Schizosaccharomyces pombe: one gene and its partner. The gene in region 1 interacts genetically with each later gene. Each region holds a gene or a part of one and is shown in the gene's direction. Other genes may lie near its edges.

The links.
Region 2: mutations in rng10 (region 1) and bgs4 impair growth when combined (synthetic growth defect), as found in Schizosaccharomyces pombe (one study listed by BioGRID).

Annotation. Positions count from the first base shown.
Region 1 is NC_003424.3:3,118,588-3,124,456, reverse strand, and holds rng10 (protein Rng10), read left to right. Parts: upstream 1-1,848; 5' UTR 1,849-1,961; coding exon 1,962-5,078; 3' UTR 5,079-5,238; downstream 5,239-5,869. Other genes in the region: structure-specific endonuclease subunit Slx4, read left to right, coding at 5,457-5,510, 5,595-5,869.
Region 2 is NC_003421.2:2,253,596-2,258,841, reverse strand, and holds the start of bgs4 (cell wall and secondary septum 1,6 branched 1,3-beta-glucan synthase catalytic subunit Bgs4), read left to right. Parts: upstream 1-2,189; 5' UTR 2,190-3,695; coding exon 3,696-5,246. Other genes in the region: SPOM_SPCC1840.13 (uncharacterized protein), read left to right, coding at 675-1,073.

The DNA of each region.
Region 1 (5,869 bases):
GGCAATTGATACACCAATGTAGTAAAAGAGGCACACCTGTATAAACTGGTAAAAGTTTAAACAAATCTTTAGCCAGTGTTCTCCAACCCACTGGAAAGGAAAGACATGAAATAATTTGCAAGAAGCGAATACTACTTGTGACAGGTTTGTACATGTACATGGCTTTTGAGTTTCTTTCCTGCATTATAGATAAAAGCGTGCTATAATTTGGAAAATCCTTCCATAATAATATAATAGTAGGTTTCAATTTGTCCCATTCAGTAGGAAAAAAGAACGACTCAATATTTTTTTGAGCCAAGGTAAATAAAAAATGAGATACTTTTTTTGAAAGCAAGCTAAACTTCAAAAGATTAGCAGGCTGGTCCACAATTAACTGTTGATAACTTTGCAGAATTGTGATAACACATTTACGACAAATATGGGTGTACTGGATCAGGCTTGTAGAAAAAAACTGTAAAGCAAAAAAGTGAAGACTAAAGGATTTTAAAGAAGAATCCCCTGAAAAGGAAACAATTCTTAATAGAAAATGTTTAGGCGAAACCAACTCTTCAGCCAGCAATCGACCAAAAAGCTTCAATAGGTAAGTGTAATCATCAGCGAACGAGTAAATATCAGCGTTTAGAAAAGACGAAATGAACGAAATTAAGAATCCCGCTGCAACATCAGTCCAATTTTTAACCCATTCTGTTATATCAGTTGTCTGGACTTTTCGTAAAAATGAACGAGCCTCATTTACTCCAGCGCATCGAATGAACCATATCGCTCGAGTAAAAGGGACTCGAAACTTCACCAACATTCGTAATATATCTTCTCCCCATAGACCATGTGGTATAGTTTTAATAAGAGAAGACAAGGGCACCATGGGATCAGATAAACCCTGCAACCAGCGGTCACGTCTAGACTCAGAAAGTGTAACTCTTGGTGGAGGACGAAACGGAGCGAATGGCTCATCAATTACTGCATCATTTTGCCGACCGAGCAAAGTAGAAGAATATCGTTTTAAATTTTCTAGAGTGCTTGATTTTTCAAGATGTTGTTGTAACAAACCCTGAGCAGATGCTCTATCACTTCGCACAGGTGGTGAATACCTGTGGCCTTTGGAAATAGCATCTCCTGCCAAAAAAGGAGCTCCGTCGACTGTCTCATCACGAAAATTTTTATCTGGAGCAGAAACTTTGCTTTGAAGTAATGTTAAGTACTCATCGTGTGAACTGGTCGAAGAATCAATATAGCAAATAGCTAAGGGCACCGCGTCATTAAAGCCTGGAGGGTTTGCTGAATCTCGATTGCTCATAAAGGATCAGAAAACACCTTTTTTGGAGCAACATATAAATATTAGTCAGATATTAAAAAAAAAAATGATTAGAGCTGGTAACAGAATGTTGTGGAAGTCCTTAAGCCAAGTTGGATTAGCAAATTAGATCCTTCTTCAAGAAACGTTTTCCAATTAAAGTTATTAAGAATCTAAGAGTAATGAAAAATTAAACAAGTTGGTTTTGAAACACAATGATTAGGTAAATTGTATTAATTGGCCTGTTGAAGTTAGCAATCATAAATTTCCACTTTTGTAAATACTAATATGTTAAATTTGAAGATTGATGTATTTGTTCATCATTCCTATTAGCTGATTAGATATTAAAAGTACTTTGATTTCTTCAACAAACGCTTCTAGGATTACGCGTAAGCCACATCAAAAACAATGAATATCTGCTACATTCTGAAAAGGTGTTTGCTTACAATTTTTGTGCTTAAAACAATAAATAACCTACAAGCTTGTGCTTGTTAACGTATGGGGCTGGCGAAGTCAATGTTATGCAGTGACTATGTGGTAGTCAGCAATCTACTACTATCCCTTCACCTCCAACTTTACGCATGAACAATAGTACATCAATAACGGTTTTATAAGTAAACAAAAAGCGAATTTTAGTCCATGACTATATATTTGAAAACTTAATAGGTCAATGGAAGAAAATACGGCTCAAAAGCAAAGTAATGCCACAGGCTTGCAACGACACGTATCAGGAAGATGGATTTCCAATGTTCCAAGTTATGAAGGTAATGAATGGAGTAGTGAAGAATCTGAGAGTGAGGATAAGGAAAGTAATCTCACCAGTAGTGAGAATATCGGAAAGAATCCCGAAAGGGAATTAAATTCTGACGGAACCGATCGCATTATAGAAGAAGAGGAGGAAGAGGATGATATTGAAAACGAGGCAAGTAGCTTTAGCGAGCAAAGTGAGAACGAGAATTATGACTTTTCATACCCTGGCACTTTTGTTTACCGAAAAGCAGCATCTAGTAGCCATGAGACGCTTGCTACTAAGGTTGTCTCCGCTGATGAAAGTGCACGGTTATGGGCCGAAAAGAGGAGATTTCTTTTACAGAAATTAGGAAAAGATCCAAATTCTAAGCCGATTGATTACAAATCTTCCATGGCATCTTCTAGCACCCGTTCATCTCAATCATCACAAGTTTCAGCCATTCAACCTCAAAGTCAAGATGATAATAGGGTCTCGGATATTCGACAAATGGAAAATCGAAGAGAGTTAAATGTAAAGAGGAGATCTGTTTCAAGTCCAGCAGAGGATCTTGCTATCCGTCCTTTAAGTTTCTCTAGGTATAAAAAGGCTGAAGAAATACCCGAGTCTTTACCTCCTATCAAGGGTAGAGATAGTTTTTCAAGTGTCAGAGAGCTCAATGAATCAAACGTATTTGCTCGTGCTCCAAATAAGAACCGATTCTCATTTGCTTCAGTTGCAGAGACTGGTAGTGGCTCCAATTTTTCCAGGGCTACCTCTTCCAGAAGTTCAAAAACTCGTAGCGTCGTATATGAACCTAATCATAGGCATACCAGCTTCTTTGGGGACACGCTTAGTAACCTATCTTCCTCGTTGAACGATAAGAAATCTCCTAATGACGATCATGCAGTACTAGATAGCGAATTAATGGAGCAAACTTTGCCGGACTCTGCCGAGGCGGTAGAAATTGCTAATAATGTGAAAGAAGATATTGTTTCTACCGCTAACGATGATGCCAATGAATTGGATAATACGAGTGAAAAAGCTACTTTGGAAACTAGTTCAAAGCCTGTTACGGAACAAGCAATTGAGCAATCTGAGGTTGTTCAAGAAGTCGAGGAGGGAGATACGAACATGACTACTAATACAATTTTGAAACCAACTGACGAAATTATTAATAAGGGTTATGCGTATTCTATAACAAGCTCACACTCGAATCATTCAAATGAGAAGTTTGAACAAATACCTAGTCCTGATGAAAAGCTTTCTCGAACAGATATTGACACTCATGTCAAGCAATTACAAACTACTAAGTCAACTGATAGCTTGTCTATTCCATTTGTTGAGTCTCCGCAGCAAAACCCAGAGGAAGAACTTTCGGACTCACTATCTAACGATTTTGGAATCGATGCTGAAAAGGAGAAGGATGAAAACCTCTCAAAACCGGAGCATCATCCATCTATAACTTCTGTAAATTCACCATTTCTTTATTCTCCTAGTAAGCAGCCCTCAGGTGAGTTGGATGAAGAAAATCTTAAACTACGATTACAAGATTCAGATGTGGATGATGAGGTAGCCACAATTCGTTCACTTAAACAAAATAATGCTACCAATTCGGAGGTTGAGACAGTTACGAACGATCCTTCTTTCTCCCAACAACCGGGTACTCATAGTCGTATTTTGCGAAATTTTGATGCTATCAGCTCTATCGATTCAATACCTGATAGCTTTTCTGACAGCGCTGTCGATTTGCCTGTCGATTCGTCAAAATATACCCTTGTTGGAAAAACTCAAAGTAATTCCAATCTACTTCAGGACAATGCTGAGAAACATATTTCAAAATCGAACCTTGAAAAAGTTGATGTGAAAGGAGATACATCACCCAATTCTGTCGAGCAAGGGATTGAACCTCAAGCTGCTTCTGTTGTTGGATCTCCACGCTCTTCTTTGGTTTCTAACAACTCCCTAGAGGAAGGAGCACTATTGAAAAACTCAGAAAGCTTGGAAAGTATCTATGGTTATCTTTCGGAGGAGCCCGATCCAGCTCTTACCAAGTTGAATACCGAAGACCCTTTTTGGACTAAGGGGTCATCTGACGATGAACATACAATAGCCTCTGTAGAACAAGACGTATATCCATATAAAACTAGTCTTCCAACTATTGTTGAAGCGACTACTTCTCACACTGAGTCAAGTAACTCAAAGGCTCCCGCAATTGAAGAAACGACAACTACAAAGGTCGAAGTGGTAGCTGCTCACGATGCAGTTTCAATATCCAGTAATTCCAGTACACATAAGTCTCACTCTGAACCATTAAATAGAGATGAGTTAGAAGTTGCTGCCTTAAGCCGTGGATCCTTGCCAGAACCTCCAAAACCCAACAAGCAAATAGTCGTTCAGGAAGAGGATCAACGAGACACACTATCTCTAAAGACAAGCACGACAGGTTTATCTTCTCATTCTAAAAGTGCTGAAAATAATTCAACTCAGCAGTCGACCACTTCTCCTAGCATTAACTCCGGTGCTTCAGCGGATGCTGTTTCTTCTGGAATTTCCAAAAAGGCTGATAATAGTGAAACTAATTTAAATTACTTTGCTACCTTAGATGCGTTTGTCAAGAGTCCATTGATGTCGTTCGATGGATTGGGTGAATTAGGTTCTACCGATCAACGTTACAACTTTTTCAATCAAAAGATTCAAGAATATTCAGCATACGATTCGGGCCTTGATAATTGGATTCAGTTTTGCTTAGAAAAAGATGGTGAGGCTCCAAAGGAAGCTCCTCCTCCTCCTCGTTCTGAGCCAGTTTCAACTACAACCAAACTTGCCAAAAGAATTACGCAGCCTTCGTTGAGTCCTGCAAGGTCAACTGTTACTATAACTCACAACATTGCTACTGAAGCAAAAAAGAAGTCTAAATCTGCTGCTAATGATATTTTACATTTGTTTAAGAAGAAAGCAAAAAGTGAACAATCAAACGCCAAGTCGTCATCTAGCTCTATCAAAGAATCCAAAAAGATGAAAACTCTTTTCGGAAAAAAATTGGGATTCAAATCATAAATCTTTTGCATACACTTTTTACCTAACTTTTTTCTCTCTTTTGTAATTTTCTAATTTATGTATTGTTTACGAAGCATTGCATTTCAATCAATAAGATTTTATCTAAATATTGTTTCATTTTCGTATTGCGCATTTTTGTGAAACCATTTAGTTATTTTTATCAGACGATGAGTTAAAATATCAAGCATATTCTGGTTTTGCTGCCACTTGTCTAAACCAAAATAAGAAACTGGACGAAAAACTTTCGACAAATTCAGGCTAGTACACAAAACAAAACAATCGAAATTAAATATTCATCATTTTTTGGGATATTCTTTCGTTTTCTTGGTGTTTTAGGATTCTGAGTACGCTGCTTTCAAGCTAAGTTTCATTAAATGGATGTCGGCTGAAGAATACATTGAGGTATCATCTTCTCCTGATATATTCACGGACGTATGAAAAAAATATGATATTCTATAGCAAATGATTAGAAATATTACATTGAACTGAAGTAAATGTATATTAACTGAGCTTTAGGATGATGACATGATAACAATAGAGCCAGAGCTAAACAAAAACCCTAAAGATTGTAATAGTAAACGAAAAAGATCTGTTACTGAATGTTGTGAAATTAGGCTGATAACTTCTAAATGTGATTTTGAGTCTACTCAACAGCTTGTGCATCACAATTGTACGGGACATAAGGTTCATGAGCACAACTTAAACGCTGTGGATGAAGAAGATTTTGATACTGAAAATCTCCCTCTTCTTTTTTCTTCCTTTAGCGACAATGAATCAGATATCTTAGAACC
Region 2 (5,246 bases), on another chromosome or scaffold:
GGTTGCTGTTATCTCGGATTCCCGTTTTACATTGCTTTTGGCAGGGAATTACGATAGCAAACCAACTAAAATTTCCTTTCCGTCTTTAAACCGAGACGCTATAGTACAATTGATTCGTTAAGTTCCCGATGGCGGGCGATTTCATGACGAGAAAAAAAATCGGTAATTCGTAGACTAGAAGAAAGAAACCATTTTCAAATAATATCGTTCTACTAGAATCGGAACATGCAACCGAATGAATTTGTTTTTTTAAAATATTTTTAACGTTACTTCAAATGTACGGTATGGAAACGTAATTGACAATTGGCGAAATAGACGAATTCAATTTAAGAGATTTGAATACATGGAGAGATTGAATGTATAGTATCTAATTAAGGAGAATTGATGAATTTTTTAGATTTTTTAATGTGATTCCGGTTCTTCGCTATAATTGCTTGCATTCCAAAATCCCCGTAGCATCCATTTCCATCAATGGTTTTTCAATTCCCGTACACGGTTATTTTTCCACCGCTCTGCATTGCGAGTTCTGTGGCAATACCCAATGTTCTACTAGGATATTCTATTAAACCACGCTATATCAAGGAACCAGGCCTTTCCATCTTCCCCATTCTATTCATAGGAATTTTGGCCGCTTCCCTAGTAGAAGGGACAGCCAAAAAAGAGCGAAATTTCAAATGGACTTTTATAGGATCTTGGTAATATGCATCCATGTATATACCAGGCTAGTTTTTGCGCCATTGAAAAAGGATTTAAAACTTTTACGCTTAATCAGCCTTTGCATTCCAATAATTCGACCTTTTTCTTTCCTCATTTACCCACCACCCAAATCTTTCTCCCCGCTCAACTCTATTCTTCCATCTATCTTACCCATTATTCCTTTTGCTATCTCATCTAGCCTGCTCTTTTCATATACTTTTCACGTTTTCTACCGTTTCCTTTTCCAGCCGCTATTATCGGTCCCATATGCCAATTCCAAACAAACCAATTGTTTACTCGTAGCGAGCTTTGTTTATTTACCCTATCGGAGCCCGTTACCGGTTGTCATAGAAATAATGGTACAGCGTTACTTGTAGATTCAGCTCTTCCCAATCAGTGGTGTAGCAAAGAGGATGATCAATGGTTACAACAAATTTCCCTTTGTTTACATTGTACATAACCGATTGTTTACATTTTGGTTTCTAGGTAGTAAGTCAAAGAAAAATGTTGCACCTCGAAGCTTTTTAGAAAAAAAAAGCGTAAAAGAACTATTAAAGAATTTTCCAATGACACATTGATTCCATTATATTCTATCCCATTCTTCTTATCTACTTTCTCTTCTGCCACCTTCTTGCTTCTTCCATCCCACACCATATCCAGTATTTTACATACGATTCTAGCAATATGGCAAGAAACCGTCACTAAAAATTTCACTATAGTGAAAACCGAAAAATTACACTTTCTATTGTAGGGTTAACTTAATTAATTTTAATTTATTTATTTTTTTTTTTTGCTCGAAAGCATGTGCATAGTAGGATTGTACGAAAATAGCAGCAGGATGTTTATTTATAAGTGTGCAAATTGAATGAAAAGACATTCCTAATGTTGGTAAACGTAATTCGTTCCGCTAATGCTGCTAAAGCGTAGAGGGTTTGAATAAAATACATTTAAATATTAGCTAGTTTTTCATGAAAGACGATCGATTTAAATAAAAAAATCTGATCTGTTTTTCTATTGCATATTTTTCTCTTGCTTAGATATTTTTTCTTTTTGATTATTCGACAACTTTACTTCCATCGTACTCATTTTTTATATCAAACAAATTTTAATTATTTACTTTCTTGTCTTTTTTTTGTAATTCACCCATTCAGTTTTTTAACTTTATAATTTTTTTTATTCATCTCAATAGCTCATGTTTTCTGCAGTCTCTTTCTTGCCTTCAACTATCCCTCCTTCTATTAATTGATACATATATTTTGCGAGCTGCTGGTATCAACATTAGGAATTACTTAGCAAGACCAACTACGCTGCTTATAAAAGGACCGGCTTGTCTTGATAAAAATTGCATCTGATTACTACTTCGATACTCCTCTCCATTGGGGTTTTTATGGCTTAGTAGTCACCCTTTTAAATATTAGTTTTTTAATAATATTTAAGTATTTTTATTGTGTTTCGTTAAGATTTATATGGTGGTCCTGCAACGTACGCCAGCCGTCTCTCCTGAACCAAACACTACCCTCCGCCAACAACACATCTCGAAAGTGTTTGCGTAGTCCTGAAGTTTGGTTGAAAACAAACGTCTATAGGATTCACATATCGGGAAAACTGTTTAACAATCCGTATTTTTAAATTATTCTCTTTTCTCCCGATTAAAGTCTCCTTCGTGTGAGGCAACTAGGCCTGCTTTTTTCAAGTTTCCTTTGAAAAAAGAGCAAGACCCCATTTGCCTTCTGGACTGCAACAAAAGTTTTTCCTTGATTGTGAAAACAAACAGGCATCGGTTTTTTTTTCCGACTTGTTTTTGCTTCATCGTTTTTTTTTCTCTACTTCTTCTTTTACCTCCCCGTTATTCAATTCTTATACCTTGTGGTAAAAAGAACTTTGACGGTCTTTTATTCGTTTCATATTGCTTTTGAGAGATTCAAAGTTTTCCTTTTTTCTCTTTTATTATTATTATTGCTAATTTCATATAATAACGATCATTTGCGGATACTCCTCGTTTATACCCACCAGCCTTTTTCTTCTCGCTTCTTTCCCGCTTTAAAAAAAATCTTTCCCCTCCCCTTCTTTTTGGAGTGCCCTTGAAGTTTTTTTATATCTAAATCAAAGAAAAAGACTGAGAGAAAGTTATCTTATCCCCAAGAATCAACAGCATCTAGTTCTTTTCTTAAAGTTCTGGCTTCTTCATTTCATCTGTTGAATCGACAGACATTGGTATTTAGGAGCTTTGTCCATTGAGCCTTCTTTACTTTGTCTTAATAGACGTACTGTTTGCAAAGGGTTTTATACAGTGATTTTAGCGTGAAAAAAATTAAGAGCTCTTCGGTTTTTTCCGAGTTTCAAAATTTATTGTATATTCCTTTCTCTTGTATTTTGGGTTCATCATTTGTGGCATTCTCCGTTTTACACGCATCTGTTAGTGCATTACTTTCTTGATATTTTATCGCATTGGAGTAGATTTTGTCTTACTTAAATTTTATTTCAAAGCTTTGGCAAATCATCTGCTTACCTTTATTTCCTTTCTTTCTTTTTCATTACAGTCTTTTACAGGGAATTCCTTCCTTTTTTTAGAAATTTTCTTTCGTTAATATCTACCCATATATCGCCATTTATAAACTTGACGCTTATCCACCCTTACATACGGTTATCGTCATTTCAACCTGTTAACGGAGTGAATTTCTTTTAGATAAGTCACTTTGATCATTCACGGAGTTTGCTTATCTTGTTTGTTGAAGCTTTTCTCTTTTAGTGTTTGTATTTCTATTTCTTTTCCTTTACTTTTCTGATATTTTATTCCATCCATTAATTGGTTCTTTTTTCATTTTGGCTTACAAGAGCGGATAAGCATTAAGTCATCAGTCCCTCTTTTCAGTTCCTATTGAAATTGTTCATTCTTTTCTTTTTTCTGTTCGTTATTCTTTAACTGGGAACTCCTTTCACCATATTTCTAATTAGTCCTCATTCCTCAATCTATTTACAAGTTTTAAGCATAGTAGAAAATGTCTGGAAATAATGAAAATGTTTCAGGTATTACTGGTCATGATGCTGTCTCGGATGATCAGTACGCTTACGATTCAGAGGTTTATGATGACCAAAATGCATACCAACGCCAGCCTGCTGATGCGTATTCCAATGAGGAGTTTTTGGATCAGGCTGACTACGATTCTATGTATGGAGAGGGTTACAATGGGTATGATTACCCTACTGGTGTAACTGAAAGTTATGGAGATGAATACACTCCTGTCGACACCGCCTCTTCAGGTATCAATCAATATTCCACTGAAAAAGGAAAATTTACTCGTCCTTCAGATGAATACGAGTCTGAGTATTCAGATTACAATGCTCAGCCCTCAGATGCCAACAATTTTTACAATTTGAGAGGCGATGGTAGATACAACGCTTATGATCCTAGTTCCGATTCGTTGGCTAACGTCTACAACAGTGTGCCTTACGGTAGCAGTCCGTATGATTTTAGCAACTCTTCTTTTGTTGGTAATTCGGGCTCAGGTACCCCATTGGATGGCGATAGTGGTTCATTCTATGCCGATAGCGCTAATCTCACAAATCGTGAGCCTTATCCTGCCTGGACTCCTGAAAACGAACTCCCTTTAACTAAGGAAGAGATTGAAGACATATTCATTGATCTAACCAATAAATTGGGTTTCCAACGCGATTCCATGCGTAATATGTATGATTTTTTTATGTGTCTTTTAGATTCTCGTGCTTCTCGCATGACTCCAGATCAAGCACTGCTTACGCTTCATGCCGATTATATTGGTAGTGATATTGCTAACTATAAAAAATGGTATTTTGCTTCTCAGATGGATCGGGAAGATGCAGTCGGTCTTGCTAATGTTGGCATTTATGGTGGTAAAGTTACTTCTATCAAAGAGAAAGGAAAGTTCTTTTCTCGAAACAAAAAAGCCCCTAAAGTTGTTAAGCCTCCAAGGAAGTCTCGCTTCAAGCGCAAGAAGAAAAAGGAGCAACCCGAGGAGGCGGAAGACGAATACATTGATGTTAATACCGATGATTCTTTAGAATCCGCCGAATATCGTTGGAGATCTCACATGCGCTCAATGACTCAATTCGAGCGTGCTCAACAAATTGCATTGTGGCTTTTGTTGTGGGGTGAGGCAAACAATGTTCGTTTCATGCCTGAGGTAATAGCCTTCCTTTTCAAATGTGCTTACGATTATATTATTTCACCTGAGGCACAAAACGTCACTGAACCAGTTCCTGAAGGATATTACTTGGATAATATTGTTTCCCCACTCTACCAATATATGCACGATCAGCAGTTTGAAATTATCAATGGGAAATATGTACGTCGGGAACGTCCACATGACCAGTTAATTGGATACGATGATATTAACCAACTTTTCTGGCATGCTGAGGGTATAGCACGTCTTATTTTTGAAGACGGCACTCGTCTTATTGATATTCCTGCTTCTGAGCGTTTTCATAGGCTTCCAGAAGTTCAATGGAATCGTGCTTTTTATAAAACTTATTATGAATCCCGTTCTTGGTTTCATCTTATTACCAATTTCAAT